Linked DNA regions of Arabidopsis thaliana. The protein of the gene in region 3 interacts with the protein of the main gene of each other region in a biochemical or structural test. Each region holds a gene or a part of one and is shown on either strand. Other genes may lie near its edges. The genes, in order: MSL9, RAV1, OST1 and AREB3.

What was found.
Region 1: of the proteins of OST1 (region 3) and MSL9, one has a biochemical effect on the other in vitro, tested with the Arabidopsis thaliana proteins (one study listed by BioGRID).
Region 2: of the proteins of OST1 (region 3) and RAV1, one has a biochemical effect on the other in vitro, tested with the Arabidopsis thaliana proteins (one study listed by BioGRID).
Region 4: of the proteins of OST1 (region 3) and AREB3, one has a biochemical effect on the other in vitro, tested with the Arabidopsis thaliana proteins (one study listed by BioGRID).

Annotation. Positions count from the first base shown.
Region 1 is NC_003076.8:6,582,469-6,590,582, forward strand, and holds MSL9 (mechanosensitive channel of small conductance-like 9), read left to right. Parts: upstream 1-2,886; 5' UTR 2,887-3,005; intron 3,006-3,022; exon of another isoform or gene 3,023-3,274; intron 3,275-3,527; 5' UTR 3,528-3,610; coding exon 3,611-4,980; intron 4,981-5,064; coding exon 5,065-5,185; intron 5,186-5,339; coding exon 5,340-5,633; intron 5,634-5,732; coding exon 5,733-5,935; intron 5,936-6,062; coding exon 6,063-6,303; 3' UTR 6,304-6,498; downstream 6,499-8,114. Other genes in the region: AT5G19510 (Translation elongation factor EF1B/ribosomal protein S6 family protein), read right to left, coding at 214-283, 377-493, 584-669; ACL5 (S-adenosyl-L-methionine-dependent methyltransferases superfamily protein), read right to left, coding at 6,708-6,789, 6,887-7,082, 7,165-7,240, 7,347-7,503, 7,591-7,679, 7,767-7,869, 8,091-8,114. UniProt on the Arabidopsis thaliana protein: Mechanosensitive channel that opens in response to stretch forces in the membrane lipid bilayer.
Region 2 is NC_003070.9:4,539,334-4,545,869, forward strand, and holds RAV1 (uncharacterized protein), read left to right. Parts: upstream 1-2,834; 5' UTR 2,835-3,052; coding exon 3,053-4,087; 3' UTR 4,088-4,637; downstream 4,638-6,536. Other genes in the region: MAP1C (methionine aminopeptidase 1B), read left to right, coding at 5,666-5,804, 6,003-6,087, 6,198-6,435, 6,520-6,536. UniProt on the Arabidopsis thaliana protein: Binds specifically to bipartite recognition sequences composed of two unrelated motifs, 5'-CAACA-3' and 5'-CACCTG-3'. May function as negative regulator of plant growth and development.
Region 3 is NC_003075.7:16,268,572-16,276,578, reverse strand, and holds OST1 (Protein kinase superfamily protein), read right to left. Parts: upstream 4,835-8,007; 5' UTR 4,216-4,834; coding exon 4,045-4,215; intron 3,734-4,044; coding exon 3,659-3,733; intron 3,564-3,658; coding exon 3,462-3,563; intron 3,378-3,461; coding exon 3,324-3,377; intron 3,240-3,323; coding exon 3,147-3,239; intron 3,078-3,146; coding exon 2,985-3,077; intron 2,730-2,984; coding exon 2,625-2,729; intron 2,520-2,624; coding exon 2,421-2,519; intron 2,309-2,420; coding exon 2,110-2,308; coding exon of another isoform or gene 2,063-2,109; exon of another isoform or gene 2,020-2,062; coding exon 1,922-2,019; 3' UTR 1,754-1,921; downstream 1-1,753. Other genes in the region: AT4G33945 (ARM repeat superfamily protein), read right to left, coding at 6,065-6,188, 6,283-6,461, 6,680-6,787, 7,040-7,162, 7,249-7,377, 7,551-7,834, 7,915-8,007.
Region 4 is NC_003074.8:21,044,104-21,051,428, reverse strand, and holds AREB3 (ABA-responsive element binding protein 3), read left to right. Parts: upstream 1-2,814; 5' UTR 2,815-3,534; coding exon 3,535-4,275; intron 4,276-4,358; coding exon 4,359-4,430; intron 4,431-4,794; coding exon 4,795-4,875; 3' UTR 4,876-5,195; downstream 5,196-7,325. Other genes in the region: UBA2A (UBP1-associated protein 2A), read left to right, coding at 1-721; AT3G56840 (FAD-dependent oxidoreductase family protein), read right to left, coding at 5,252-5,365, 5,486-5,645, 5,731-6,158, 6,273-6,554, 6,635-6,964, 7,029-7,112. UniProt on the Arabidopsis thaliana protein: Binds to the embryo specification element and the ABA-responsive element (ABRE) of the Dc3 gene promoter. Could participate in abscisic acid-regulated gene expression during seed development.

The DNA.
Region 1 (8,114 bases), on a different chromosome or scaffold from region 3:
TTGACAATTATGCAAGATAGCGTAAACACACACACACACACACAACATTCCAAACCAAACTCCAATCAATTCCCCTACCAAACATAGCTCGTGATCCCTAATACAAGATTGGAAATATCACCTTTCAAATCATAGTTCCAAACTACATTCATTACCCTTTTTCTAAGGTCTACGACTATGGTAATAAAGAATAAAGCATTCAAGTAAAGGTACCTCAGCTTCAACAGCTGGAGCAGCAGCAGCAGAGCCACCGAATTGTACTCCAACGGCCTTTCCAGGGAAACTGCAACAAATCAAAACTCGTCAATTCCTGGAAGATCAATATACAAATCCAAATCTGAATCGATTATTACAAAATTCCGAAAAAAGGACGAACCTTTTAGCAAGTTGGGAAGCCACGGACTCGTACCACTTGCTAGCATTGGGGAAGGCATCGCTGGGTTTCACTGGAACGGCAGCGTAAACCTTGACATCATCCACAGACAATTGATCTCTGCAAATTCAAACTCTCTTATACGTCAAAACGGGAATAGAAACAATCGAATCGTGTCGCAAAAACAATAGGAAAAGTGAGAAACTTTACCCGGAGATGTAGGTTTTTCCGGCGAGGTGCTCCTCCACGGATTTGACACCCTCCTCTGTGTGTAGATCTGAAAAGGTAACGGCCATTGTTGCTGAGTTTTAGGGTGTGAGGGAGGTAGAGAGATCAGAGAGACTAAGCTGCTGTTGAAACCTAAAAGAGTATATCCTGAGCTGTGAGACTCTGAGAAACCCTAAACCCAAATAAACTGACAAATATTTGGGCTTATTTATGGGCCTTCAAAGTGGCTCGTTCCCAAAGAGAGTCCGGAAAAAGTAAAATTAACATTTAGGTTGTTCTTTATTTGGAAAAAAATAACATAGGTCTCAACTCTCAAATAGGTAAAGGTATCTACAAAATTGGAAATAAACAAATTAATGATAAAATTTATTCTTCCCAGTTTTGGGTATAGAGTGAAACCTTGATATGAATGAATTGTAATTTGTACTATTTTGTATATATGTAAATCTGTAATGAAAAGTAAAATATTTTTGATGAATTTAAATTTACTTGACTCCGATTGATCATACTAAACCAGAGCTCATTTTGGACTTAGTTTGTGTTATTTTAGTAACTAACTTAGACAATTATGTAATGTCATGTGTATATTTTAACAGAATTTGAGTGTCAATTCTCTTCCCAGATATGGCAATGAGTCACTACCATGCTGCATATTTATAGTTGGCTCCTTCATCTTGGAATCAACTTCTCTTGGTTGCTGCATGATACAACAGATAAAGCTTGAGTCTGCTCCAAGGATGGCGATTTATGAAACTTGGAAGGAACATAATCACCATTATCACCTTGACATTATACACTACAACCTGATGTTACCGTTGTCCCAAAAGACCAAGAAGATCTCTCTAAACAAAGCTTAGGCTCTGCTTCGATTGGGGTCCCTTACTTACTTAGTGATGTTGGTTTGATCAGTAGTTATCAACTTACCACTTATTAGTTTGGTGAAACGATGGTTGAGAATTTGTATATTTCTTTGAATGCTACATTTATAGGGTGTTTATTTTCTCTTCTATTTTTTGGTTGATATGGTTCATGTTTAATTCTTTTATAAACTTTATTTTGTTATTGCAAACAAATCCTTTGCCAATAAAAGAAAAATGTCAAAGTGTACATATTACTGGTCACTGTCACGTTTGAGTTTTATGTTTTGGTCCATATATCGTTTGAGTTTTATGTTTTGGTCCATATATCACCTTTACTTTCGACTTGTGAGATTAAACACTTGATGACATGACCACATTACGTACCTACAAATTGTACATAACATTTGGGAAAAAGATGTATTCAATATTTGGCATCTTTATAAGAAAAATCTATTAATTACAAATTTACATTTTTAAATAATAAGCTTAACGGCTAAATGACATAGACACAAGATAACATTAAAGTAGTTAAATTCAAATATCCACGCATTGAAATTATCTACTACTATTTTTGTTGTCGTCCTTTAGTACTCATAAAAGGATAGGTTCAATTTTGAATAATTGAATTCGGATTTGTTCGATGCGAGTTATTTTAAATATCCTACCGTGCACATTAAAATCATGGGAAGAACTAAGAAGATAGGTACGTAGTTTACACTCAAAACAATATAAAAGTTGATTTTTTCATCGAAATGCCAAATTCGTCTTTAGTCTTTACCGAAATTTTAATATATTTCATTTGTGAAAATAACGGTAAAACCAAGGACTGTGTCTGTATATATTCTTGCTGTCGCCTTTGTCTTTTCTTTTCAACTCTTATTAAGTGGTACTATTATATTACAGTTTTTAAAAATTATAACTACATTACTACTATATGATTTTTGTGCAATTTAAGATCTATGATATTAGCCAGACCCATTCATAAGCAGCTGTAGCAATTCTGCATTAACTAACCCTTCTCTATTTGTTCGTTAACCAAGCTAATGCGACTTCTCATTTCATGTTGTTTTTTACGTAGATCACATGCATTGATCACATCATTTTAACTAAATGACACTGAATTTTCAATATTCTATTTGAAGAATCATTATTAATATAGTACTACTTAATTAAAGAAACTAAACTAAAAAATATAAACATATTCGCGAGACATAAGAAAAAGATGTCTATAAATTAAAAATAAGACTGTTGACAACAACAAAGATAAATAAATAAGACTGTATTCATATCTTTTTGTTATCAATTCACATTGGAAGTATAAAACTTTATTTTTCTGGGAATCCCCTCTGAGATCCACGTGATTTTATTTTTTATTTAATTGATGCCTATTTGTTTCTTGTCTGTATTTACTGGAATTCATTTTAAAAATAAATTTGTTCAACTTCTTCGTTTTGGTAAATGCACTTATAAGCTGGAGTTTTCGCTCTTTGCAAAGCAGAACTAAAGTTTCAAGATCAATCCTTGCTTGGCCTTTCAGTGTCCTTGTACGACTATCTCTCTTTTCCCTTTCTCTGTTATCTTTATTTGTTTCTTTAAGTTTCTAAAAGTGTTTTCTTTTTTTTGTCCACCCAAAGATAAAGAGAGTTCAATACCTGCTCTGTTTTGTCTCTGTAACTTTTATAGTAAGCTTATATCCTAAGTATACGTTTGAATATTTTCCAACGAGGCACTGTTGGTTTACTTTTTCTTTGGAAGTATACATATGTGTTTTGGGAAACTGTTGATCCTTCTTACGGCTTTCTTCAGAAAATTGGTTGGTTTTAAAGAGTACTCATTTACTTAGAAAAAATGTTCTTTCTTGCAGATCTCTTTTCTAGCCTTGTAGGATTTGGTTTAGGTTTTAAGGTTTAGCTTAGATTTGGTGTAAAATTTTGTCAATAGTCATTAGTCAACTAAGTCCAAAGTCGGTGTCAAGCATGTGTTATGTCAAATCTCGTTGTATCTAATTGTGTAAAGAGTTTGTGATTAATGTAATCACTGATGCACTTCTACTCTCGTGTTCTTAGGATTTGGTCCAACTTCTAGGCTCTTTTGGGAGCCATTGGAGTCAAACAGCACCGCAAACTTATTGGTTGGAAGTGACTTAGGGATGGCTGAGAGGAGAGTCAGTAACGGAGAAGAAGTTGTTATTAATGTTTCAGATAAAGAAGATTCAAAAGATCCAAGAGCATCTCCTTCTTTCAATCCATTGGCTTCACCAGACTCCGATGCTGGGATTGAGAAATCGAAACCAGTGCCGCCCATAAGCATTCCTACTCCTGAAATCTATAAGTTCTCTGGTAGCGTTCATAAGCCACCTAAAATTCCAAGTCCTGAAGGTCTAGTTCGGAGGAAGTCTCTTTCGAGGTCAATTTACTCCAAGCCTAAGTCAAGGTTTGGGGAGCAACAGTCTTTTCGATACGATAGCACTAGAGAGGAAAATGGTGGAAGGTCCCTTAGGGAACAGTTTGGTGCTGGTTCATTTGCAAGGGGTTCTTTTGACAGGGCTTCTCCTAATAACAAATCCAATAGGAGCGTTGCGTCAGCAGCACTGAGTAAAGTTGCTGAGGAGGAACCGGATGAAAATGAAGAAATCTACAAAAAGGTTAAGCTACACCGAGTGAAGCGTAGCGGAATGAAACCTCTGGCCTTTCTTGAGTTGGTAGTGTTTATGGCCATTTTGGGGGCTTTAATTGTGAGTTTAACCATTGATGTGGTGAACAAGCATACCATTTGGGGGTTGGAATTTTGGAAATGGTGTGTGCTTGTGATGGTTACACTCAGCGGCATGTTGGTGACAAATTGGTTCATGCATTTTGTGGTGTTCATCATAGAAAAGAACTATCTTCTTCGGAAAAAAGTTTTGTACTTTGTGCATGGGTTGAAGAAGAATGTTCAAGTCTTCATTTGGTTTAGTCTGGTTCTGATTGCTTGGATATGTCTGTTCGATGGTGATGTTAAACGTACTCGTAAGACCAAGAGATTTCTAGACTTCATCACTTGGACTATTGTCTCTCTTCTCGTAGGGTCAATCCTTTTCTTGGTGAAGACGTTTGCCTTGAAAGTTCTTGCTTCAAAGTTCAACGTCAGAAACTTCTTTGAGAGGATTCAAGAGTCTGTTTTCCACCAATACGTTCTTCAGACTCTCTCGGGACCTCCGCTTATCGAAGAGGCAGAGAACGTTGGGCGCGTGCCAAGCACAGGTCACCTAAGTTTCACAAGAACCAAAGATGGAAAGGTGAAAGACAAGAAAGTGATCGATATGGGAAAGGTTCACAGGATGAAACAAGAGAAGGTCTCTGCTTGGACAATGCGTGTTTTGATCGAAGCCGTGGGAACTTCAGGTATATCAACCATATCCAGCACTCTAGACGAGGTCAACAATAAGAAAGAGAGAACAGATAAAGAGATAACAAATGAGATGGAGGCTGTTGCTGCTGCTTATGACGTCTTCAACAATGTCGCTAAGCCAAACCACAAGTGAGTCATCACACAAATACTCTGTTTTCTTCTACTCTGTTTTCATGTTAATCTCACAACTTGAATTGCTTTTTAATTTCTCAGTTACATAGAAGAAGATGACTTATTGAGGTTCATGATAAAGGAAGAAGTAGACCTTGTACTCCCATTAATAGAAGATGCCGACACCGGAAAAATCACACGCAAGACTTTTACAGAATGGGTGGTAACATTCTTCAAACACCCTTAATTTTTGTGTTCAAAGTTGTTTTAGATGACTAATGGTTACCAATAAAGGAAACCCTAGATAAAAACATAACACATGTCTATTTAGAGAAGTTGTTAAGTTAAAGTAGGTGTGTTGTGCCATTTTTTGACAGGTTAATGTATACACAAGTCGGAAAACTATAGGGCATTCACTGAACGACACAAAAACAGCGGTTAAGCAGTTGGACAAACTTATAACTGGAATCTTGACCGTTATCACATTCATTGTTTGGATGGTACTTCTGGATATAGCATCGACCAAGCTTTTATTGGTCTTCTCCTCACAATTTTTGGGTCTTGCTTTCATGATCGGAAGTACTTGTAAGAATATCTTCGAATCCTTTATGTTCGTCTTTGTGATGCATCCTTATGACGTCGGAGATCGTTGCGTTGTCGACGGTGTTATGGTAACTTACTTTGCAAGTTTGTTTAATTTGCTCACTATTACTACTCAGTTAAAACATCTAAATCATTGAGGTATTTTTTTTTTATATTATTGCTTGAAGTTGTTGGTTGAAGAAATAGATCTTTTAACAACCGTGTTCCTCAAGATTGACAACGAGAAAGTGTTCTACCCAAATTCGGTTTTAATATCGAAACCGATAAGCAACTTCTACAGAAGTCCAGATATGGGAGATTATGTCGACTTCGGCATCGCATTCTCAACACCGGCCGAGAAAATCGGCTGTCTCAAGGGAAAAATCGGAGAGTAAGTATTAGGCATCTTGGTTCTTCACATATATATTTTAGTCCCCTAACTACCATATAACATGACCTTGACCACATTAAATCACTGACTTTTCATTGACTCTAAATTTGGTGTTGTAATTGGTCAGATACTTGGTGGCAAACTCACAACATTGGTATCCAGAAGCACAGGTGATGGTGAGGGCAATTGAGAATATGAACAAGCTGGTATTGAATATACTGGTCCAACACACGATAAATTTCCAAGTATATGTAGAGAAGAGTTTAAGAAGAACCGCGCTGATCATCGCAATCAAGCGAATTCTCGAGGATCTTGAGATCGATTACACTCTCCTTCCTCAAGATGTCAATCTCACTGGTCACAAATGATCGTGTTTTCCTTCTCTTCTTTTGCATTTTATTCCACTAGTACTAGTTTCCTTCATTTGCTTCGGTTTAAATTTGATTTGTTTCGGTTTAATTGCACTCAGAAACTCGGGTTTACTTTAATTGCTTCGGTTTAATCGAACCATAATTGGCCTATTCGATTTCTAGATTTGGTGTGGAGAAATAAGTAATTGAAGATCGGTCTTTCTTAGTAAGCAATATAGTCTTGTTAAACCGGAATAACTTGAGGGAAGAACAAGAAAACAAAAAGCAATGTAGAAAATAAAACCGAACCAAAGTAATCAAGATTCAAGACAACACCCGGTTCTGTGCGGAGAAAAGAAACCGGCCTTTTGTTTTTGTGACATGGGTTTGGTAATAACACTGAAACTGAAACCGGTTCGTCTTTAAATATGCCGGTACGCCACACCATGACCATGAATGAATCTCGCATTCTCTTCACTATAAACTTCAGTCTCCTTCTCTAGCCTGCTCAATTTTTTAATTTCAAAAATTTTGTAAATAAATCGAATAATTATTTATTGTGTTAAGAAAAGAAAATAAAAGAGAGAAAAATGGAAATTACGCGAGAGAGATGGTTTTGTTGAGAGTAGCAGCAGAGACGAAAGAAGGAGCGTTTAGATACATCAATTCTCCGTTAACTCTCTCTTCGATTCTTCGATCCATTTCATCAACTTCAACGTCAAACTCGTGGTCCGATGCCATCACCCATCCCCATGTGTCCGCAAATGATGGCACATGTGCTGTGTAAGCCTTCACGTCTGTTTTTATATCAATCATCAAAAAATGGATCCAATAATGTCATTACAAGAACACACACGAAACAGGCTTTAATTTGCTTACACTTGAAGACTTGCTTCATGGTGTTGTAGATTGATGTGAAGACTTCCTTATGAGTGAATATTCCTGCTGGTCCAGCCTATGAATGATTTAAGTAAGTAAATTTAGTCTTTTGTTATCATTCTTCTAAAATTATTAATATTTATCAAAGAATAATTAGAAGAAAAAATAAAAGATGTATAGACCTGGGTGACAAAAATGCCATTAGGGCTAAGCTTGGGTTTGAGAATGTTTTGGTAGAAGGATTTGGTGTAGAGCTGATAACAAGGTCCACCTTCCACTGGATCAGCTAAATCTCCCACTATGATATCAAACTTCTCTTCCCTTTTCTCTAATTCAGCCCTTTTTCACATTTCAAATTATATTTTTTAGAGATTTTAAACGTCAGATAAAAACTTTTTTTGTTTTGTTTTGTTTTAGGTTCCTTACTTTGCATCTTTGATCACAAGTTCAAGCTTTTTGTTACAGAAAGCATCGCTGTTAACGGTCAGAAATCTTCTGCAAAAATCAACAACTTCCTAGAAGAAGAAAGAAAAAACATGTATTTGTTAAGATCATGCATGAACGTATATTTTTGTTAATACAATTGGAGGTATGAGATTAACCTGATCAATATCACACATAACAACTTTCTCGATCGTCGTGTGTTTTAGTATTTCTCTTGCAGCAGAGCCTTCACCTCCTCCCATTATAAACACAGTCTTGGGGCTACTCAATGAGCAAATGTTAAGTAAATGACAATTCCAAACTATGTTTATATAAAATGTTCATGTATAATAATAAACAAGTGATATAATTTACTAAATATTAGTAGAATCAGTAGGCTATATAGGTGCACTGTTCAAATCTGAAGTACTCAATTTGATTACTAAAAAATCTTTTATATATACAAAATTTTATTTGTAAGTGAAGTAAAATAAAGTGCATACTTGGGATGGAAAAGGAGAGCGGGA
Region 2 (6,536 bases), on a different chromosome or scaffold from region 3:
TGTGTATTTTTAAAATTAAGAAAGACGAAACCATGAAAAAGTTACTTCAACACATTCAATGTGAAAGCTATATATGAAATAAAAAAATATCCCAACGCATTATAATTCAATTAGACAAGTCGAGTTTTCTGGTTGAGAAAAGAAAAAACTTTAACAAAAAAAATTGAAAAAAGAAAAGAAACCAAAATCGTTTTTTCCGATATATCGTGTGTTATACGTTGACAAAATAGGTACTGATGGAAATTATTTACCGACAAGAAAATAATTAAATATATCAACGAATTGACAAGCTAAATAAGCTAAAGGACCAAGTTGAGGAAAAATGAGGTCCACCTGCGGACCAATAACAACTCGTCCGTACTAATAATATCTATTTATACCTATGTTGGATGTTTCAAAAAAAAAAAAATTAGCATCATAAATCAGATACTTTTTCCTTTAGCACTCTTATCTATTTTGTTTCTCTATAAATCACATTCTAAGGTCTTCTACCTCCTTTGCTCAAAAAAAAAAAAGGTCTTCTACCTCTTTTTTCTAAAAACATACAGTATATAATTGTAGTTTTCTTATAAAGGAGTAAAAATATGATAAAAAGTTCTGTTACTCTTTTATCATATAACAAAACAACTTTCACTATCTTTGTAATATCTATAAAAATATGCAATGATATAAATTCCAAACAAAATTTACAAAACGTATAGAAGAAACTAACTAATTCTGATATGATCAAATCAAAAGTATAAAACAATGAAAGTGTACTGGTGAAAATGTCTCTCTTTTGTAAGCAGAGGTTACACAACTTCAATAATGTATCACTTACAAAACCAATTTTTCAATTTGGAGCTCAAATACTTAGAATCATAAAAGAAACATGGATGAGCCCAATCTCTCTTACGGAGACAAATTCCATGAGAAAAGAAAGCTGAGTTAGCAACAAGTGCCACGTGACAACATACTCAATTTCTTCTAAGGAAAATACAACCATCTATTTCTTTTTGTCGCATACCCACCCATATATGATATACTTAGAACCATTTTAAGTTTTTTTAAAACATAAAAATACGATTTTAAATTTGAAAATTTGATTAGAGTGTGATTATCTAATTATTGTGTTGTCTATAAATCTACACAGTCACTACTTTCTACCACACTGATTTTAACAAAATCAATTAAAGTTGATCAGCACTTATTTCTTTCATATGGGCTTAAATGCCAATTTACTTATATATATTTTGATGAAAATGTGTGGTAAAACTTAAGAAACAAAAAAATCCTAACACTAATTAGCGCCTAGGTATTTTGAGCAATGCCTCTTTAACTTAAAAAGAAAAAAACGAAAAAAGACAAAAGTAATTGTCCTGCTGTCAAGAAATGCCCATATTATTATTCATCCACACAAGACACGTACGACCATGCCTCTTAGTGATTTGTCATTGGCCCACTTCCCATCCTAGTGGATCAAATTGATAATAAATACTATAATAAATAATTACAAGAATTCAAATAGAAACCGGCAAATCAATTAATAGATATAAAAAGGAGATATAAATCGTTAACATTTTCTATTGGAGCAGGGAGAGCCAATAAAAGTCGAATCTCACGATATTTCGCAGTTCTCTAATTGGCTCTTTGCATAAAAAATGAAACCTAACTAATGGGTAGAAGAATACTTTTGCAAAGCAACAAATATATCAGATAAGATCGTAAGCTATCCACATCACTTGTTAATTGTCCTCAAACCATATTATATAATGCAAACAATTTATGGCGTTAAATCCTTACGTATTTATTCTCTATAAGAGTAAAACACACACACTGAAGGCAACTGATTTAATTGGATTTCTATTGACCAGTAGAAATACTTGTTATGATGTCGGTCGCTCGTTGGCTAAGTATTTCTTATAAATATATAAGACATATTTAAAATCTTTTTACATTACATACACCCACTTATGAGAAACAAATATAATAAAATGTTGATACCAAATATATATATATATATATAATAAAATGGGATAATTACAAGAACAACAAAAGAGAGATTTTTTATGAATTTGGAATTGGAATCTATCGAGTGCATATATTATACGGACAATAATCCTCATAGCAATACACATTTTTTCTATAAAAAGAAACGTAGGATAAGATTATAGAAAGAAGAATAAAAACCTGGAAATGGAAAATAAAGAAGATATATATCATGAGTTCATGACTAAACAACTATTTATAGCTTTTTCAATAATAATATCATTCAAGAGTGAAGAATAACAATCAGATTTGGAAGAGAAAAAAATTTAAAGAGAGACACCATTTAACATCGGTAGGATCTGAACATGGTTATCAAATCTAATACTTTCTATTTTATTATTTTTCATATAGTTATTATCGTTACTATAGTATTATAGTGAATTAAAATTTTAAGCATCAAAACTCAGGGGGGATGAACTTCACTAAAATGATGTCAATATCTCACGTGGACCCTTTATCCATTCCATGGCCCACACATGGGTCCCACTTCCCCATGCACACAGCCCACAACATATTCATTTCTATATTTGTTCCTATACTCTCTTTTCTCTTTTTCTTACATAAATAAAATACTAACTTATTATAAGGATTATTATTGCTTCGTGTGTTTTCTTCTATAAGTTACATCAACAGTTCATGAAATAGACCCTAATATAGTAACCTAAATTAAATGCCGTATATTTCATTATGTTTCCACGAAGCTTCCTTTGTGTTCTTTGAGTTGACCCATACACACCCATCTTACTTCCCATGCACCTGCACATATACTATAATTACTCCCCTCAAACACGCATTCTTACAAATATATTTTTTGTTATTACCAAATAAAAAGTGAAACATAAAATAATAATATCAGAAGTGACACTTGCTGTTTCTTATTTCCCTCCCCCCAAGCTCTTTCTCCTTCTTTCTATATATATTATACACACACACGTATACATATACACAACATAATTCACAACACAACACAAACACATTTCTGTTTTCTCCATTGTTTCAAACCATAAAAAAAAACACAGATTAAATGGAATCGAGTAGCGTTGATGAGAGTACTACAAGTACAGGTTCCATCTGTGAAACCCCGGCGATAACTCCGGCGAAAAAGTCGTCGGTAGGTAACTTATACAGGATGGGAAGCGGATCAAGCGTTGTGTTAGATTCAGAGAACGGCGTAGAAGCTGAATCTAGGAAGCTTCCGTCGTCAAAATACAAAGGTGTGGTGCCACAACCAAACGGAAGATGGGGAGCTCAGATTTACGAGAAACACCAGCGCGTGTGGCTCGGGACATTCAACGAAGAAGACGAAGCCGCTCGTGCCTACGACGTCGCGGTTCACAGGTTCCGTCGCCGTGACGCCGTCACAAATTTCAAAGACGTGAAGATGGACGAAGACGAGGTCGATTTCTTGAATTCTCATTCGAAATCTGAGATCGTTGATATGTTGAGGAAACATACTTATAACGAAGAGTTAGAGCAGAGTAAACGGCGTCGTAATGGTAACGGAAACATGACTAGGACGTTGTTAACGTCGGGGTTGAGTAATGATGGTGTTTCTACGACGGGGTTTAGATCGGCGGAGGCACTGTTTGAGAAAGCGGTAACGCCAAGCGACGTTGGGAAGCTAAACCGTTTGGTTATACCGAAACATCACGCAGAGAAACATTTTCCGTTACCGTCAAGTAACGTTTCCGTGAAAGGAGTGTTGTTGAACTTTGAGGACGTTAACGGGAAAGTGTGGAGGTTCCGTTACTCGTATTGGAACAGTAGTCAGAGTTATGTTTTGACTAAAGGTTGGAGCAGGTTCGTTAAGGAGAAGAATCTACGTGCTGGTGACGTGGTTAGTTTCAGTAGATCTAACGGTCAGGATCAACAGTTGTACATTGGGTGGAAGTCGAGATCCGGGTCAGATTTAGATGCGGGTCGGGTTTTGAGATTGTTCGGAGTTAACATTTCACCGGAGAGTTCAAGAAACGACGTCGTAGGAAACAAAAGAGTGAACGATACTGAGATGTTATCGTTGGTGTGTAGCAAGAAGCAACGCATCTTTCACGCCTCGTAACAACTCTTCTTCTTTTTTTTTTCTTTTGTTGTTTTAATAATTTTTAAAAACTCCATTTTCGTTTTCTTTATTTGCATCGGTTTCTTTCTTCTTGTTTACCAAAGGTTCATGAGTTGTTTTTGTTGTATTGATGAACTGTAAATTTTATTTATAGGATAAATTTTAAAAAGGGTTACTTAGATATGTCTCAAGAGTTTTATTAGCATGAGATGATGAAAATGTTGTTACCAAATCTTACCTTGGTTTCTTTTCATTTTATGTGTATGGGAACTCGTATTTATATGTATGCATTAGCTACTGCTTATGGTATTTGCTGCTTTTTGTATATAGATTTGAGGAGTTATGACTTATGCGTACGTAATTTTATAAAATAACTCCAACCAAAAGAGAAAAAGTTTGCAGGGTCTGTAAACGTATATAATCGTATGATGATATGATAGACCATACTCCGATACAAATAACCAAAGAGAAAGATATTTTAAAATGAATGCTATTTAAGCTTTTGCAAGATATTATTTTAAGCTTCAGAAATTATTGTGTTGGTAGAGAGATTCATGTTGCTGTTAAATAATATATATGTATTTATAATTCTATCTACTACTTTTTCGGCTTAACTCAATCTAGATATTTGTTTCTAAAAGTGTTTTAGTTTTCTTTCTTTCGCTGGCTGCGACTATGAGTATCTTCAGATTCTCTACAAACTTAGGTATATATAGCTATTTATTTCGAAGGAATTTGATGGTTAAAACGAATAACATTAAAACTCTGTTAATCTCTTACGAAATGGTATATAGTATATGCGTTAGAGTTTGAACATATGATGATAATAGTACACCTGCCGCATACATTACTATGTACCTACATAAAGGAATATATTGACCATTGATCTAATGAATGTTCCGTTCATATGCACTTTCTTTCGATACAATTCGGTGGACTATAACATTATTCCATTATAGCATAAAATCCTATTATACAATTAAAAATGCCCACGCAATTTTACGTATACTTTTGTCTATAACACACATCCACACATAATTCAAGTTGTGTTCAAATAGTAACACAGCAGTAGCTTTAGTGAAAATTATTAGACTTGTTGATACCAAAGACTAGAAAGAAAGAAAATAAATAAATGTACTAGAAAAAATCCACCATCATAATCGTTATTGTTGTTTGATTTTTGTGGATCCATTTAGATATACATTTATCAACGACTAATTCTCAATCTAACAAATTCTATAAGATAGGAAAATTTTGAAAAAGCACGATCATAATTTAGAAAAACACAAGTTAATCATAAAGTTACTAATTTAATAGCTATAATTTCTTTTAGTTACAAGAACCATAAAAATGTCGTCAAATATCTTTTAGATAATCTTGTCATAATTCAAAACTTCAAGCAAATCATATCTTCATAAACCCCATATGGCCTAAAGTAGCCTATACTTGATCGATCATATACAAGCCCAATGGGCTTTAAAGTCCATTAGTTTGTTAATTAAAATATCAAGAACCATTTTTTTTTTCTCTTCACTGCAAATTTTGATATTTTGGGTTTTAGCAGTGAAGTTTGCGAAAATGGCGTCTTCGGTTTTTCTATCCAGTTTCTCGTCATCGTCTTCTTTGCAACTCTGCTCTTCCTTTCACGGCGAGTACTTAGCTCCGTCGAGATGCTTTCTCGGAGCTCCGGTCACTTCCTCTTCTTTATCACTCTCCGGTTTGTCATTTTTACTTGTCACTGTTTCTTCGTTTGCTCTGTTCGTTATTCAATTATTGCTTCGTTTTTCATTGGAAGATATCGAAATTATTGGTCATCTGATTGGAAATTTTGAAACTTTCTCCGTTGTTCCGATTTTGAATGTTGTATAATTGAAGAACTTTGGTGTATGAAGTTTATCTTCTCTCATATCTGTAGGTAAGAAGAACTCATATTCTCCGAGACAGTTCCATGTTTCTGCCAAGAAAGTTTCTGGGTTAGAGGAAGCCATTAGAATCAGAAAGTAATTAACTTTGTTTAACTCTCTTGTATCATAAAAATGCAATCTTGAAAAAAGAATTCATCTTTTGGTCATAGAGCTAATAGTACATTAATTTGGTTTACATTTTATAGAATGAGAGAGCTTGAAACTAAATCAAAAGTTAGGAGAAATCCACCATTAAGACGTGGAAGAGTATCGCCTCGTCTTCTTGTACCTGATCACATTCCAAGGCCTCCTTATGTTGAGTCTGGTGTATTACCGGATATATCAAGTGAGTTCCAGATTCCTGGTCCTGAAGGCATTGCGAAAATGAGAGCTGCTTGCGAGCTTGCTGCTCGGGTTTTAAACTATGCTGGAACTTTGGTTAAGGTAAGATTTTAGTTTCCTTGTGGATCTTTTGTTTTCCTATGTTATGGATATGTGGTCTGAGTTGTTGTTTATATGGTTCTGCAGCCATCTGTTACGACTAA
Region 3 (8,007 bases):
AAAACAATCATCGTCTCAACTATATATAGGTTTTCGTCTCAACTATAAGAAATATTATCTCACCAAAAATATGATTACACTTGACTTAGCTTGAGTGAAATATACTTGTCAGACAAACTGGAAAGTTAAAGCCAAATTCAACTACTTTGAAAGGATATATTAGTTTAGGATTCGATTTAACATACCAAAATAAAAAGAATGTAACATGAACTGAATTAGGTCTACATTAGCTTGTCGAAAATCGTTTTCGTATGGAAACACTCACCAGCAAGACAAATGGTCGAATCCTCATAATAGAGATCCCTCCCCAGTCCCCACACTATGTCGAATAAGCCAATGTCACACCATAAATAATTAGTCATTTTCAAACTACTCTAGTCAATTATTTTTTTATCAAAAAAAACAAGTTAATAATGTACTTGATTGTTATGAATATCACCATCTGGATGCAGAAACTAACAAATAACAATCAGAATTTACTTGATTAAGTGTCGGAACGGAAATAATGAGCAACTCTGCAATGGCAAAAAAGGCTACCGTTGGACAAGTCTGACGGCAATGAGGAGATCATACTTGATGATTACTTTTATTTTAGTGACAAATCAATCTATCGGAAATTACAATGGATTTATATGATTATTTTGGTACAAGTTTTTATTTCAAATTTTTCTGTAAATCTTTTTCACATTGAGACAACAAAAATTATGCTTTCGCTAAATCCGACACATATTTGTCATAATTTTACCCAAAAAACTAAATTCCGTTGAAATTGTATAAAATTTCGTAGTGAAAGTATAAAAACATAAATAGAAACATAAACCACAACGGTCTTTGGAAATCTTGTCAAAATCGTTCATATCTCCTGTCTATCGGCCAAAGCCATATTGTGTCAGTAATATTTTTCCCAATCCAAAATAGAATTTATTTTAAAAAATACTAATAATGTTATTTATCCACTATGCCTATATCCAGAGTGAATAGGTAAAATAAATGGTACAAAATAGTTTGAAACTAAAAGAAAATAACGAAGATAAGAAGACAATAATGATATCAGTTGCTAAGGCAGACATATCTCATCTATAACTCAAAATCATTCACGTTGTGTTACAGTACAAGAGACACTGTCACATAGGTCGACCAACCATGCATGCTTCCATTTTCTTAATAAAAACGTTGCAAATTGTAACTGCTTGTTTTCTTCTTCCTTTTTTTAAAAAAATTAAAAACATTGAGTATTTTTTAAAGTAGGAATAATATTAATTTCAATGAACAAGAACAACTATCAAGTACTGGTTCATTATCAATTTATTATTCGAAAAATATTTAGAAAAGAAAAAAAACGAAGATGCGTGAATAAGCATCTTTTTTAATTTAAAGCGAATTACCGTACGTATGTCCTTCTGAACATATAACATGCATATTAAATTATTAATGAATGTGTTCCATCTACATTTATGCTGTTTTTGTATTTTTTGTGAAAATGGGAATATCATCTTATTTCCATATAGTTCAAGTCTTCAAGATATGCCCCATCTATTTACTTCAGTTTGATATTATCAAGTACCCACTTTAATCTGTATAGTACTACAGAATATCGATTTCTTTATCTTTTGCATAGCCTATATGTTGTTTAGTTGTCAACTTCTCCAAATTAGTTTAACAATTTTGTTTCTAGTATTATTAGAAAAACAAACAAAAAATACTAGAGAGAGTAGATAAAATACTGATTGATGAAAATGTTTTTTTTTTTTTTTTTCACTTTTGTTTAGAAATTTAGTCTTTTGCATATCAAAGATTCAAAGTGTACTCATTGAGACAAAGTTGGGCCAACTCAATAGCAAGCAAAACATCTTAATCTTATTCTTCAACATTTTTTGTTTGACATTTTTGTAGCAGAAACCATGCAAATAGATATATAGTATCACATTGCGTACACAATCTCTCCGCTACTGTCGATGTCAAGATCATCAAGGTCGCTCTCTAAGTCTTCCTCCATATCGTCATCTATGTCCAAGCTTCCTGTTTATCCATTAATGATAAGTTTTTCAAACATTGAGAAGCATTAAAAAAGACAAGAAATCGAAAAGTTTATGTTTTGTGTTGTCTCACCTGTGAGGTAATGGTTCAGATTCTGAGTGCCTGCAGGAGGAACAGTTGCTTCTGCAATGATCTGCATAATTTCTTCTATGCTTTGGCCCGGTTGATCCGATTCATCAAACTGAGTGGTCATCGTGTTATCGTTCATTAGATCTGCCGGTAGATTCTTTAGAAACCATTCATGGTTCCTTATTTCAGGAATTGATATCCTCTGCCAAGAAACCAACCAAGAGGGCCAAAATGCAAAGTTCTCTTTTCAGTCATACTATAAAGAAAATTCACAAATAAATCAACAAATGCAGCTTTCATGATCCTTCCTTTACCTTTGCAGGGTCAGCAACAAATATTCTGGAGATCAAATGGCGACATTCAGGAGATATGTGAACATAATCCGGAATAGCATACTGAACATTCAGGATTCTCTGAGCAAATATTTTCACAAGAGAACAGATAGTTTAGCTAGCAAGTAATAAAATCCATAATTACATTTTTCAACTATTGAAGCATGAAGAAAGTGAAAGGCTCACATGTATAGTTTTCCTGAAATTCTTTGGTTCCTCGGGATCTTCGAAAGGATATGCTCCAACCAGCATGACATACAGAGTAACCCCACAAGACCAAACATCTGCAACCTGAAAAAAAAGAAGAACATTAGGATGCATTTGACTAATTCAACCAAAACTCAAGAATTATCAGTTTACAAATCAGACTCTTAATAGCTTTCTTCACCAAAATTCTTGAAGAGCCAAGATTGTTTTATTTGTGTGAGCTTTCATCAAGAGAAAGCATGTTTCCCCTATCTATAATCAGAGGATAAAAATACAAAGATTGTTCTTTCTATAAGATATGGTTATCATACTAGTTTGGGAACTATGAAAATGGAGTACCTTTCCATCATATTCTTTCTTTAGTAAAACCTCAGGAGCGATGTAAGCAGGAGTTCCAACAGTTGATTTTGGTTGCGAATGTAACACTGATGACTGAAAAAGAAAACACAAAGCTTAGAGATACTAACTAACTCAGAGTTTCTGAAATGTTTTCAAAGATACCTTAGAATATCCGAAATCACATATCTTTAGACGAGGGGCCGGGCTACCATCTAATAACGTATTCTCGAGCTTTAAGTCTCGGTGACATACTTGCTACAACATAAAATTTAACTTCTTAAGTCAGCTGAATTTCACAGAGGATGAAGCATTGATTTGATAGAGAGCATTTTTCATTACCATAGCATGACAGTAACTAACTCCTGAAATGAGTTGCTGGAAGAAAAACCTCGCCTACATGATAGTAAACGATATATTAGCCTCAGCATTTTGAATCTTCGATTAATCATCAAAGCAAGAAAAAAAAGAGAGAACAACCTCGTCTTCGCTGAAGCGGCCTGCATTGCAGATTCGCTCGAAAAGTTCTCCTCCAGATGCATATTCCATAACAATGGCTAAATGGGTTGGTGTTAATATAACCTGAAGCAATCCTAAGGATTAAATTATAGAATTCCTTTTTTTTCCTGAAAATGTTAATAATAAGAAAACAGCTTAAAAGAGAGTTGAAAACAAACCTCTTTGAATCTAACGATATTGGGATGTCTTAAGGACCTGTGGTTGATTATCTCCCTTTTTACATTTTCATCTATCTGTACAAATACAAAAAGTCCCACCATTAATACCACGTTCCATAACAAAAGAAACACCTAGAGCCTTTAAAACAACACTATACAACATAAGTCATAAAGCAAAGCAGAGCAAATTTGGTCTTCCATAAAAATCAATCAATTTTGTAAATCTATAGGGTTAAACCATTCATAACCATAAAGTAACCAAACACACATCTCTCATTGGATGATGAACACACAAAAATGATTTCTTTTGAATTCAAGAACCTAGTGAATTGAAACATAAAATAAAATTGGACTAAGGAGAAAAAACAAGAAGAAAATAAACTGACCTTCTCACCTCTCTCGATATATTTAACAGCAACAAGCTCATTACTTTGCTTGTCTCTCATCAATCTCGCAACTCCAAAATTACCGGAGCCAATATCCTTGACGAGTTCATACCTATCACTATCGTGCATAATCGGCAAATCCATTGGACCACTCACTGCTGGTCGATCCATTTTCTCCCCCTCTTTCCTCTGTCTCTTTGCGACTTCAATCTCTGTGTCAAGAAGATTTCTTTTTTGGGAGACAATATCTAACGACACCAAGACATCAGAGGAAATGAACAACGGTGTGACGTGGATGAATTTGAGCCTTTAAGATGAGAAAAGGAGTATTGGGTGATCAAGTTATGGTTGTGAGAAAGAGACGTTTTCAGAGACCCGTGAAGTATCTAACCAACAACACAAGTGGGTTTCTTGAGATCCTTTTTGTTCCTTTGATCGCTCTCGATGAAGAAGAAGAAGAAGAAGGAAGGCTCGTGATCTTGAACTCTGTTTCTCTCTCTCTGTCTCTCTCTCTATCAGCTTTCCTTTTCTCTGTCAATATAAAAAGGAAACAGCTTTCTCTGTTCTGTTTAAACCACAGCTTGAAGTAAGCTATACAAAACAGAAAGATGAGAGAGATAGAAGAAGTTTTCGCTTTTTCTGTGAACTGTTGAATTGTGATTTGTCAAAGCATGGGAGATAGTTTGAAATGACGGATTTACCCTTTCTACTTACAACGTTCTGACAAACAATGGGGCCTGTAGTTTTTAGAAATGTTTTTTTTTACCGTGACTAGTATAGAAAATAATATTTTAATTAGTATAAACTTTCTTTTTATTGGCAAAGTATTAGTATAAACTATGTGATTTGTTACTCTTTATTTTTCAGTAAGTTTTATCTCTCCATAATATTATGCATTAATTTTTTCCGATTTATTATATGTCTTATTGTAAATAGTATAGCAAAAAATATGAAAATATTAATTGATTAAATTTATGCCTAGAACAGTTACTAAAAATATCTAAGTTTTCAAAAATATAGCACTAGAATGGTATGAGATTTAAAATAACAGATTTTGAATTGATTTTATATCCCAATTTAATTTAATCAAACACAGTGAAAAATGAAATAGAAATAATTTAAATTAACAATTAGTTTTTCTGTTAGTGGATCTATATATTAATATCGTAATATGTCCCTTACATATGTACATTTTTGGCTACTGGATTAATTTTGCCCCTTAAATATGTCCTGAAACGGAGCTGATGAAACATATACTCGCATTAAACAAGCTTATGGCTAATCATGGGAACCTCCATGTATTAATGACCACTAAAAAGATTTACTTTCTATTTCGGTATATAAAAAGGGTTTCCGCATTTAAAAACGGAAAATAAAAGAAAAACAAGTTACCACAAATGTCGAGATATTGTTGGCTAGCTTGTCAGATCTTCACCTAAAAGCTGAAACCGATAGAGTTGCACTCATCATCACTATAGCCCATCATTTTTACTATCTAAAGTTTTTGTTTATGCGCATCCACATGACGATTTTGCTGCAAACTTTTTTTTTAATCATCTTTTAAAAACATATATCCGTACTTAATATTCCCAATACACTCTTCTAGAGCTCGATCATTCCATGGACGTGAACATTTTGTCTTTGTTTCTCTTCCCTTTAGTCAAACAAACATTTTGTCCTTGTTTCAAACTAAAATCGATTTCTTCTAAATAAAGGAAATTCATTGACTAAACGAATGATTTTAGTGAATGAATGAAAATTTCTCATTGTGAAGCCTCTGTTTCTCTATTTACTTTTTTACTATTTAGAGTACCTTTCACCGAAATTTTCAATCAATTCCTTTCAATTTTACTACATGTTCAAGCATTCGAACAAAAGCAATCGTTGCAAAAAAGACTAGATCGGAATGCCTTCTACCCAAAAGAGAGAACTCAATGCAAACTGTTTATGAAATTTTTGAAAAAAAAAACTGGATTCATTCCGGTTGTTGCGAGTACCAACCAATGGAGAAAGATTGACCTTAGTTATTGTAGTTATCAAGGCCAAGGTCTCTCAGTGCATCAGTTGCAGCGGCTCTGCATGTCTCATTGTTGGCTTTAGCAGTTCTTATCAGCTTCTCGATTCCATTAGCAAGCAGAATAGTTCTGTAGTGTGCATGCAGACAGAACTTGATATTATAAAAGAGTTTGCGATATGTGCATATTGTTGGATGACAAGAATTGGAAACAGAGCAAAAACCTGTTCTCTGCACTTCTGACAGCAATGTTCCGTATCATGTTGCAAGCGTTTCTCTGCATTTGAGCAGCTACTGGGAACCTCTTCATTGCTTGGACCGCTAGATCACCAGCTCCAGCTTCTATAGCCTTGGCTGCGTGGTCTGGTGATCTCAGACAGATTATAGAGATTATCAACATCACCTGAACCAATCAAGTATATCTTGGATCAACCACAAGGATTATGCACTCAGACCCTAATGCTACAAGAAACATTCTTCACACGACATTACGTTCTATCTAGTGGAAAACTGCCAAAGACGTGACCTGTAGTCACAAGTATCTTCTCTAGACAGGAAGATTTAAAATTGCGCATGGGACATAGTGTCATAAGAGGGTTTTCGTTTGGTTTATATACTTACCTCTTGTATGACTAGAGGATCATCAGAGAATCGTAGTGCGAGTGTGATTAGCTTGTCCAGACCTTGCTTCTCAACTATGGTACTCTTGTTAGAGTCACTTCCTGCCAACTAGAGATCAAAATACAAATTTTAGATAAACATTTATCATGCGTGGTTACAATGCTAATCTAAATCAGTAATAGGCTTTGGAAAAGCTTAAAATTTGAGAACATGCATTTATTAGAAGCACATGAACATAAGCTACTCCTTAATATGGTGCGGAAAATACTTGAAAGCCTGAGTTTTAAAGAAGGATTTTGAATAACCAAAGGCAATGAAGACAACAGAGGCAGCCTGCAGGGCATATTAGAAGCTACTCACCTTAGACAACAGGGAACAACATGTCTTAGCAGCAGTTTTGTTGCCTTGCTCACCGCTATCATCAATACACCGAAGAAGTGTATCTATTCCACCGGATTCAGCAATAGATTTACATATTTCATCCTGTTTACAGCAAAACCAGATGAAGAACTTGCAAGAACCTAACCAGATAAATGTTATCACACAGAGATTTCAACTAGGAGACTTACATTGACAGCAATTGCTTTTAACGCAGTACTTGCTGACACCAAACTATCAGAGCCAATCCCTGCCTGTAATGCTTCAGTGAGGGCTGTCGCAATCCCTAATTTGGCAAAAGTTCGTGCATAACCATAAACCTGAAACACATGGAAGCAAAAGTCTAGTGGATTTGAATTCTCAAAGCATGTCCATGAATAAGCACAAAAAACAACGATTATAAATGTTTGCTAAGTGCTATATAGCTGTTTTCCCTTAATTTCATTCCCGCAGTCAAAAGTGGCATATACCAAACGAATGTAACCATACTTACTTGGGAAGCAACAACACGGAAGTCATCTGGAGTCAAAAGAGCACAAATAGCATCGTACAGAGCTCTAATGGTAGTTTTACTCTCTCTATTCAACACTTGCAGAATAAGTTCATCGATTTTCAGTTCCATGAATAACTGTTTCACAACTTCATTACCAGTTGCTGCAGCAGCAACAACCGCAAAACCAGCATCTAACAAATCAGAATCGGAGCTGGAATCATTTAAGAGATCAACAACGATATTTGGTCCAGTACAATTCCTGAATCTCTCTGTGCTCTGAATGTCTGCAATTGAATAACACATGATCAACACAAATCAAAGTTAAAACACACAAGAACGACTAATTCAAGAACAGAAGTCATACCACGGATCAACACAGCCAAAGCCTTAAAGCAAGGAACAAGAACACGATTACTTCTAGTAGATATCTTGATTTTGGAACAAATCGAGCAAGTTA
Region 4 (7,325 bases), on a different chromosome or scaffold from region 3:
CTCGGAGCATACTCAGAAAAAGATTTATGTTAGTAATGTCGGAGCAGAGCTTGATCCACAGAAGTTGCTGATGTTTTTCTCAAAGTTTGGAGAAATTGAAGAAGGTCCTTTGGGTCTTGATAAGTATACTGGGAGACCTAAAGGTTTCTGTCTCTTTGTTTATAAGTCGTCTGAAAGCGCCAAGAGGGCTTTGGAGGAGCCACACAAGACTTTTGAAGGCCATATCTTGCATTGCCAGAAAGCTATCGATGGTCCCAAACCGGGCAAGCAGCAGCAGCATCACCATAACCCACACGCCTATAACAATCCTCGTTACCAAAGGAATGATAACAATGGTTATGGTCCGCCTGGAGGTCATGGACATCTCATGGCTGGTAACCCAGCTGGGATGGGTGGTCCAACGGCACAGGTGATAAACCCGGCCATTGGACAGGCCTTGACAGCTTTATTGGCATCTCAGGGAGCTGGTTTGGCTTTTAATCCGGCAATTGGACAGGCTTTGTTGGGTTCCTTGGGGACAGCTGCTGGTGTAAACCCAGGGAATGGAGTTGGAATGCCAACTGGTTACGGTACTCAAGCTATGGCACCGGGGACAATGCCTGGGTACGGTACACAACCTGGGTTGCAAGGCGGTTATCAGACTCCGCAACCTGGTCAAGGCGGTACAAGTAGAGGGCAACATGGTGTCGGGCCATACGGTACTCCTTACATGGGTCACTAAATGTATCATGTATCCATCCACTCAGGTAGAGCAATGAATTTCCCTTGTTTAATTGTTGAAATGTCTTTCCTCAGTATATATTAACTTACTGATGTCTGAAGACAAGAAGTTTCTGTGTATATCCACATGGTTTTTGTTTGCATTGGAGTTTTGGGGGATTTTGCAACGGTTGTTAAAGCATGTTACTTCTCTTATTTTCTTAAATTCATTGTGCAGATATCAGAAATCAGTGTTTTAATATTGGCCTGGTGATTCTTCTCAAGTTTATAAGGAGCTGATGCTAAATGAAGTCTTTATGAAATGTTACTCTTTGGTCACTCCTAAGGCCAAACTCATAAAAAACCTTTTAAGGAGTTTTAGTTTTCATCTACTTGTTTTTCCCAAACTCTCTTTATGAAATTCCTAAAAAAAACTTTGTACTACTATTTTCAGTGTTTATGTCTCTATTTTTTCAGTTTTCTGAATATCCCCCTTAGACTTTCATTTGTAAAACTAAAAAAGCGCAACTACGCTCCATGTGGGTCTTTGCTTATCGAACTCTAGTTTTTCCTAAATAGTTTTTATTGACTTCTCTGTTTTACGATTTCATGTGTTTTTCTGCCTGCAGTGTATTTTGTACCAAGTTATCTTGATTAACCTGGCTTTATGTACTATCCTGATTTTATGTTTGTTCAATTATTCCTCTTGCAGGTAATTGACTGCGGTTGAACAGCCAGATTATGTACCCCTAACTGTCAATGAAATTTCTTTAGCACACATATACTAATCTGAATGCAATTGGTTCTGAAATGATCAAAACTTGGAATTTTAAAATGCAGCAGAGCTCTCTCACTTGTGTTTTTGGATTTTCTATGACAAGTTTCAAAAGTTTTTACAATGACTATTTCAAATTAGAACTTTGTTTCCAAACTTATTTGTCATAAAATTACTAAGTTGCAGCCAACTTGGAACAGTCAAACTTGGTGGGAAGTGGTGCAAGCTTCTCAACGACACAGCTGAAGAATGATCTTTCTGAGGCAATTTCTCAATATTTGAAAAGTGGAAGCTATCGAATAGAGTTTCTCGACAACAGGCAGTTAAGTCTTTGGATCTCCACAACATGCTTGCAACTAAAAGGTAAGTTCAAAGTGTTGAGTATCTTCTTTGGCTATATACAACGTGCTTCCAATTGAAGGGTAAGTAATCAAAAGTGTTAAAAGTATATCTCTCAGTGCGAATCTCTTGCCTATATATGTTCTTGTTTATTGGTCCTAGTCCCTCTTTGAAGTGATAAAAGTTGGTTTTGGTCTAGAGAGCATGTACCTTCAGGTCCTTGTGCACAAGGTTCAGGGATTATTAGAAAAGTCACAAGAGTACGAGGTGATATATTATTTCCCTTAATGTTTCAGAGGAGTTTATAAAGGCGTGAATGCATAAAGTTTTTTTGGTGATGATTGCTTTGATGGTGAAATCTCTTTTTGGAAAAGTGCAGCTTTGAATATTATTTATGATGATGATACATAGTAGAAGGGTTCATTGATGATGAAGAAGAGAAGCAGAATATGAAGCTGAAGTGGAATTGGGGGAAGTAAGTAGTAGAGTTTTGTGTATTTGATCTCAAGTCAACAATCTCTCAATTGTTATGTCAAGTTTCGAAAAGGGAAAAAGGTCCTTCATTGATGAAGAGAATCCAAGATGCAATATTCTTCAAAGCCACATTCAATGTTCATAAAACCCAATCTGAGATTGGATAATAGAAAGTATAATTAAAGGTTTGAGATTTCAATATTGCAAAAAAATACATGTAAATTATTGCCTAAAAATGGTTTAACATGATTGCAGATTAATTTATAGTAATCACTTACCATTTAAAGAGAAACTCATAGGCATGAGGATTAGTGTTGAGAGCCAAAGAACATAAACATGTATATGTATAACCTTTTCTGATTAAAGTTTGATAATCAATCTACCTAAATTCCCATTGAAGCTAAATGAATGAAGGGTCTCCGAGCACATGTAGTGTTTATTGATTCCACCTTCATTTAAGTTAATCACTAATCATTAAGTGTTTAAACAAACCTCTGTTTCTTATTTTGATCGAAAGTTTGAGAAACCATTTTTGGGCAACTAAAAAAAGAAGAAACGCATTGAAAATTCCACAGGAGGCTTGAGAGGGGGGCATTGCCACAGTATCGAGTGTCACTTTCTCAATCAAAAGGTTTTCTCTCTCTTCTCTTTTTTCCTCTCCTGCGCGAAAACAAAACGAAGAGAGAGAGAGAGACTCAGACACACACAGACACAGAGTTTAGGTTTGCTTTGTAAATCTGTCTCTGCACTTATCATAGTTTCGTTTCTCTTTTGAGAAAGAAAAACCCAAACTTGCCATGTTTTAGATCTGGTCCTTTTTAAGCTCCAAAAGATTGTTGCTTTTTCTCTTGCTTAAGTTTTTGATTTATTCTTCTTCTTCGAAAAGTCTGTACCTCGCAAGAGTTTGATTGTCCTTGTGTTGCGATTTCCATGTTTAGTATCTGCATTTGATAGCCTTCGATGCTGCATGCAATTCCCAAGACTCTTTCTGATTGCTACAACGCCGTGATTTCTCTCTGCCATTTCCTTCGATTTGATTTCTGGGTTCTCTTCTTCTCGTCTCTCTTCTGCATGTTTCGCCACTCTACCTTAGAAAAAAGGTTACTTTCGCCTCCGATTTAGGCTCGATTTGATGAATTCGTCGTCGTGTGGCTATTTATCAAATTGAGCATTAGGGTTTCTGATTTGTGGGTTCAGAATTGTTTTTATCTATCTGTCTTGTTGTTTTTTGTCCGCTACAAAAGCCTATGGATTCTCAGAGGGGTATTGTTGAACAAGCTAAATCTCAGTCCTTGAATAGGCAAAGCTCTCTTTACAGCTTAACACTTGATGAGGTTCAAAATCACTTGGGGAGTTCTGGTAAAGCTCTGGGAAGCATGAACCTTGATGAGCTTTTGAAGAGTGTCTGTTCTGTTGAAGCTAATCAGCCATCGTCTATGGCTGTCAATGGTGGAGCAGCTGCTCAGGAGGGTCTTTCTCGCCAGGGGAGTTTGACTTTGCCTCGGGATCTCAGCAAAAAGACTGTTGATGAGGTTTGGAAAGACATTCAGCAGAATAAGAATGGAGGTAGTGCTCATGAGAGGAGGGATAAGCAGCCTACACTTGGGGAAATGACGCTTGAAGACCTGTTGTTGAAAGCAGGAGTGGTCACTGAGACTATCCCTGGTTCGAACCATGATGGTCCTGTTGGTGGTGGTAGTGCTGGTTCAGGTGCTGGTTTAGGGCAAAACATTACTCAAGTTGGCCCATGGATTCAATATCATCAGCTCCCATCAATGCCACAGCCTCAAGCATTTATGCCCTATCCGGTTTCAGATATGCAAGCAATGGTGTCTCAGTCTTCTTTGATGGGTGGTTTGTCAGATACACAAACTCCTGGAAGGAAGAGGGTAGCTTCAGGAGAAGTTGTAGAGAAGACTGTAGAGAGGAGGCAGAAGAGAATGATAAAGAACAGAGAGTCTGCTGCTCGTTCCCGAGCTAGGAAACAGGTGAGAAACAACTAATTTGTTGTTGTTATTCTTCTTGTCAAGTCATGCTCGTTTTTGTTTTAACATTGGATATTGATGAGCAGGCTTACACTCATGAGCTAGAGATCAAAGTTTCACGGTTAGAAGAAGAAAACGAAAGACTCAGGAAGCAAAAGGTAATGCATTGTAGGTTTTTCTCCCTTTTTACAACACATGCATTGATTAAATTTGTGATTACTAGAAACTTGTAAGAGCTGATCGTTGATTAGTTCTGGATTCATATTAAAGGGAATGATAGATGATAGAAGATGTAGTGAAGTATAGAATAGGGCACACGCATAGTAGACAATATATGATAGAAAATATAACCACGAACAAGAGACAGGAGGAATAGGTTTAGACCAAACGTCTTAGGAGACATAGTTTTCCTTTACCCGGAACAAGTTGGTCTTGCTGGTTTCTAGTCTTCATGGACTTTCTGTTCTTCAATTTTGTCTGCGTTTATGTGTGGCCAAAGCTAATCCTTACATTACTTTGCAGGAGGTGGAAAAAATCCTCCCAAGTGTACCACCGCCTGATCCCAAGCGGCAGCTCCGACGGACAAGCTCGGCTCCTTTCTGATCTCTAAACTCTTTTTGTCTTTTTCTTTTTTTCTCTTCTGTGTCGGTTCACTTATAAAAAAGAGAGGAAAACAGCTTTGTTTCTTTGTACATTCCGTAGACTTTCTTGACTTGGAGCAATTCTGTTAACTTTAAAATATTCTCGAGTTATTGTAGTAGCAGACTAGCAGCAGTAATGGTTTTCATGAGTCCGATTGAAATTCAGAGATTGAACAGAAGGAACTTGTGTTTATTATTCTTATAGCATTTGATTGCAAAGTGTAAAGAGTTATAGACAAAGTCTAAATGGATCACACTGAAAGGAAAATTGTTTAACTCTGCAAAGCCTTCTTCTTGTAGGCCACTTTTGTTCTTAAATGTAAACTTTTAACTCAAATTCATCTCAAGAATTTGTTTGCTATATGTTCTGCAATAGCCAAGCTTGAAGTTAAACCAGGTGATTCGATGCCAAAGAGATTAACAAGACCAGGAACTCCATGAGTCTCCTCTCCCTGCATCAGGAACACACAAGACTCTTGAGGATAACAAATGGTTTCATAACAAAACCGAAGATTCCACAGGACCTAATGCTGTGAGTGTAGTCTGATGCATTTTGATAAACAAAAGCTTACCTGTATGACAAAATCTGCAGGAGACTGTTTTGGCCCGGAAAGCTTAGGACGGATGCCTGAATAACCCGGTTCCAATGATCCATCTTTGAGATCCGGATAGTACTTTCTGATCTCTGGGTAGAATTTCTCTGATCGTTGTGGGTTTACACGATAATCAAACCTGAATACAAACAGCATGAAGATCTTGAGTAACTTCAAAATGGACTAAATAGAAAGGATAATTTAAGAACAGATGCAGTATTTACTTGTTGAGGAAGCTTGATGTATCATCTGTGCATTCAATCCATTCTACATCAGGTCCAAACTTAACAAGTCCGTTCAAATCTACAGTGACATGGACACCGAGACCTCCTTCCTCAGGTATAGGATACACAAGTTTATTAAAAGGTGGAGCCTTTATGCCCGATAGTGTAAAGTAGCATCCACGAGCATAGTGAGACGAAGGAACAAATCGATGATCTAAGCCATGTAGTCTCTTTGCTAGAGCTTGAGCACCTAATCCCGCAGAGTTAACAACAAGATTAGGGATAAGCTCAAGCTGTGCTTCTGCCTCACACCGAGATTCAGAAAATCTGGTATCAGCAACATACAAATGCATCTTCTTTTCTTCAACACGACCGTTTAAAACCACCGTGTTGTACGAGAAAGTTGCGTGGTTGTTCTGTGCTTCTCCCTGTAGTCTCAAGTTGTTGTTATCCCTGTAAACCATGAAATCAAAACTCTTTTCCTAAAGACAGAACAATGAAGACCCTATATAGAGAGCTGGGGAAAAGTTTATTATATATACCACTAAAGATAGCATGAAGGAATGTGTATCAAGAATGCCAGATTCAGGAGATAGCAAAGCTTTAACACAACGAAGCTGTGGCTCCATTCTCATAGCTTCAAAACCTTCCAACATCCTTAGACCCGAGACTCTATTCTGAGTTCCAAGATGCATCAATAGATCTAGTTTCGGTATCTCAGAGGATCCCGTAGCAACGATAAGCTTACCAATCTTCTTATGAGGGATTTCATATTCAGAGCAGTATTTATACAGCAATTCCCTCCCTCTTACACAAAACTTGGCCTGCTCAAAATCCAAACAAAACTCACTATTGAACTTACCAAAACACACATCTGATTCGATCCTCAAGAGAAAGATTGTACCTTTAGAGAGTTTGGTGGATAATAGATTCCGGCGTGGACGACTTCACTGTTGCGGGAACTCGTCACGGTGCCGAACGATGATGCGGCGTCGAGGATCAGAACTTCTCTGCCGCGGAGACTGAGCTCACGCGCCACCGCTAAACCTACGACTCCGGCACCGATCACTACGGTGTCAACTCTCTCTTTAGCTATCGTTTCAGCTCCACCGCTTATTCCTCTCACAATTGTTTTACTTGCGTCAACGACGTTTATCAAGTTCCAAGTTGGTTTTAGATTCCTCGTTGACAATCTCATCCATTTTCTACCCAGACAAGGTAGCATCTTCTTAGTCTGCAGCAAAATGCCTTCAGCACCACATAAATGGGTTTTATTCTCAACTCTCTAACATTATTACATTACAGGCTTTGTTTGCATTTGCAGCCCAAGCTTCGAGAGGCCGAATCAAGCTAAACGCCGCCGTTTCAGGTTTATGCTTCATCTTTCCTCATTTCATACTTTGTCCTTCACCAAGCTGATCCCTTTTCATTTCTCTGGCTTCTTTACTACTGTTTTCAGTCGTAATTGGTTTCGAATTTTGATTCCTTCATCTGTAGACAGTTGTAAGGATCGATTTTTGGCTTGATTTTTTGACTAATGGGCTTGGAGGAACTTAGTAATCTGGGGAAAATTAGAGTTTTCTTGAGTTGTCGTC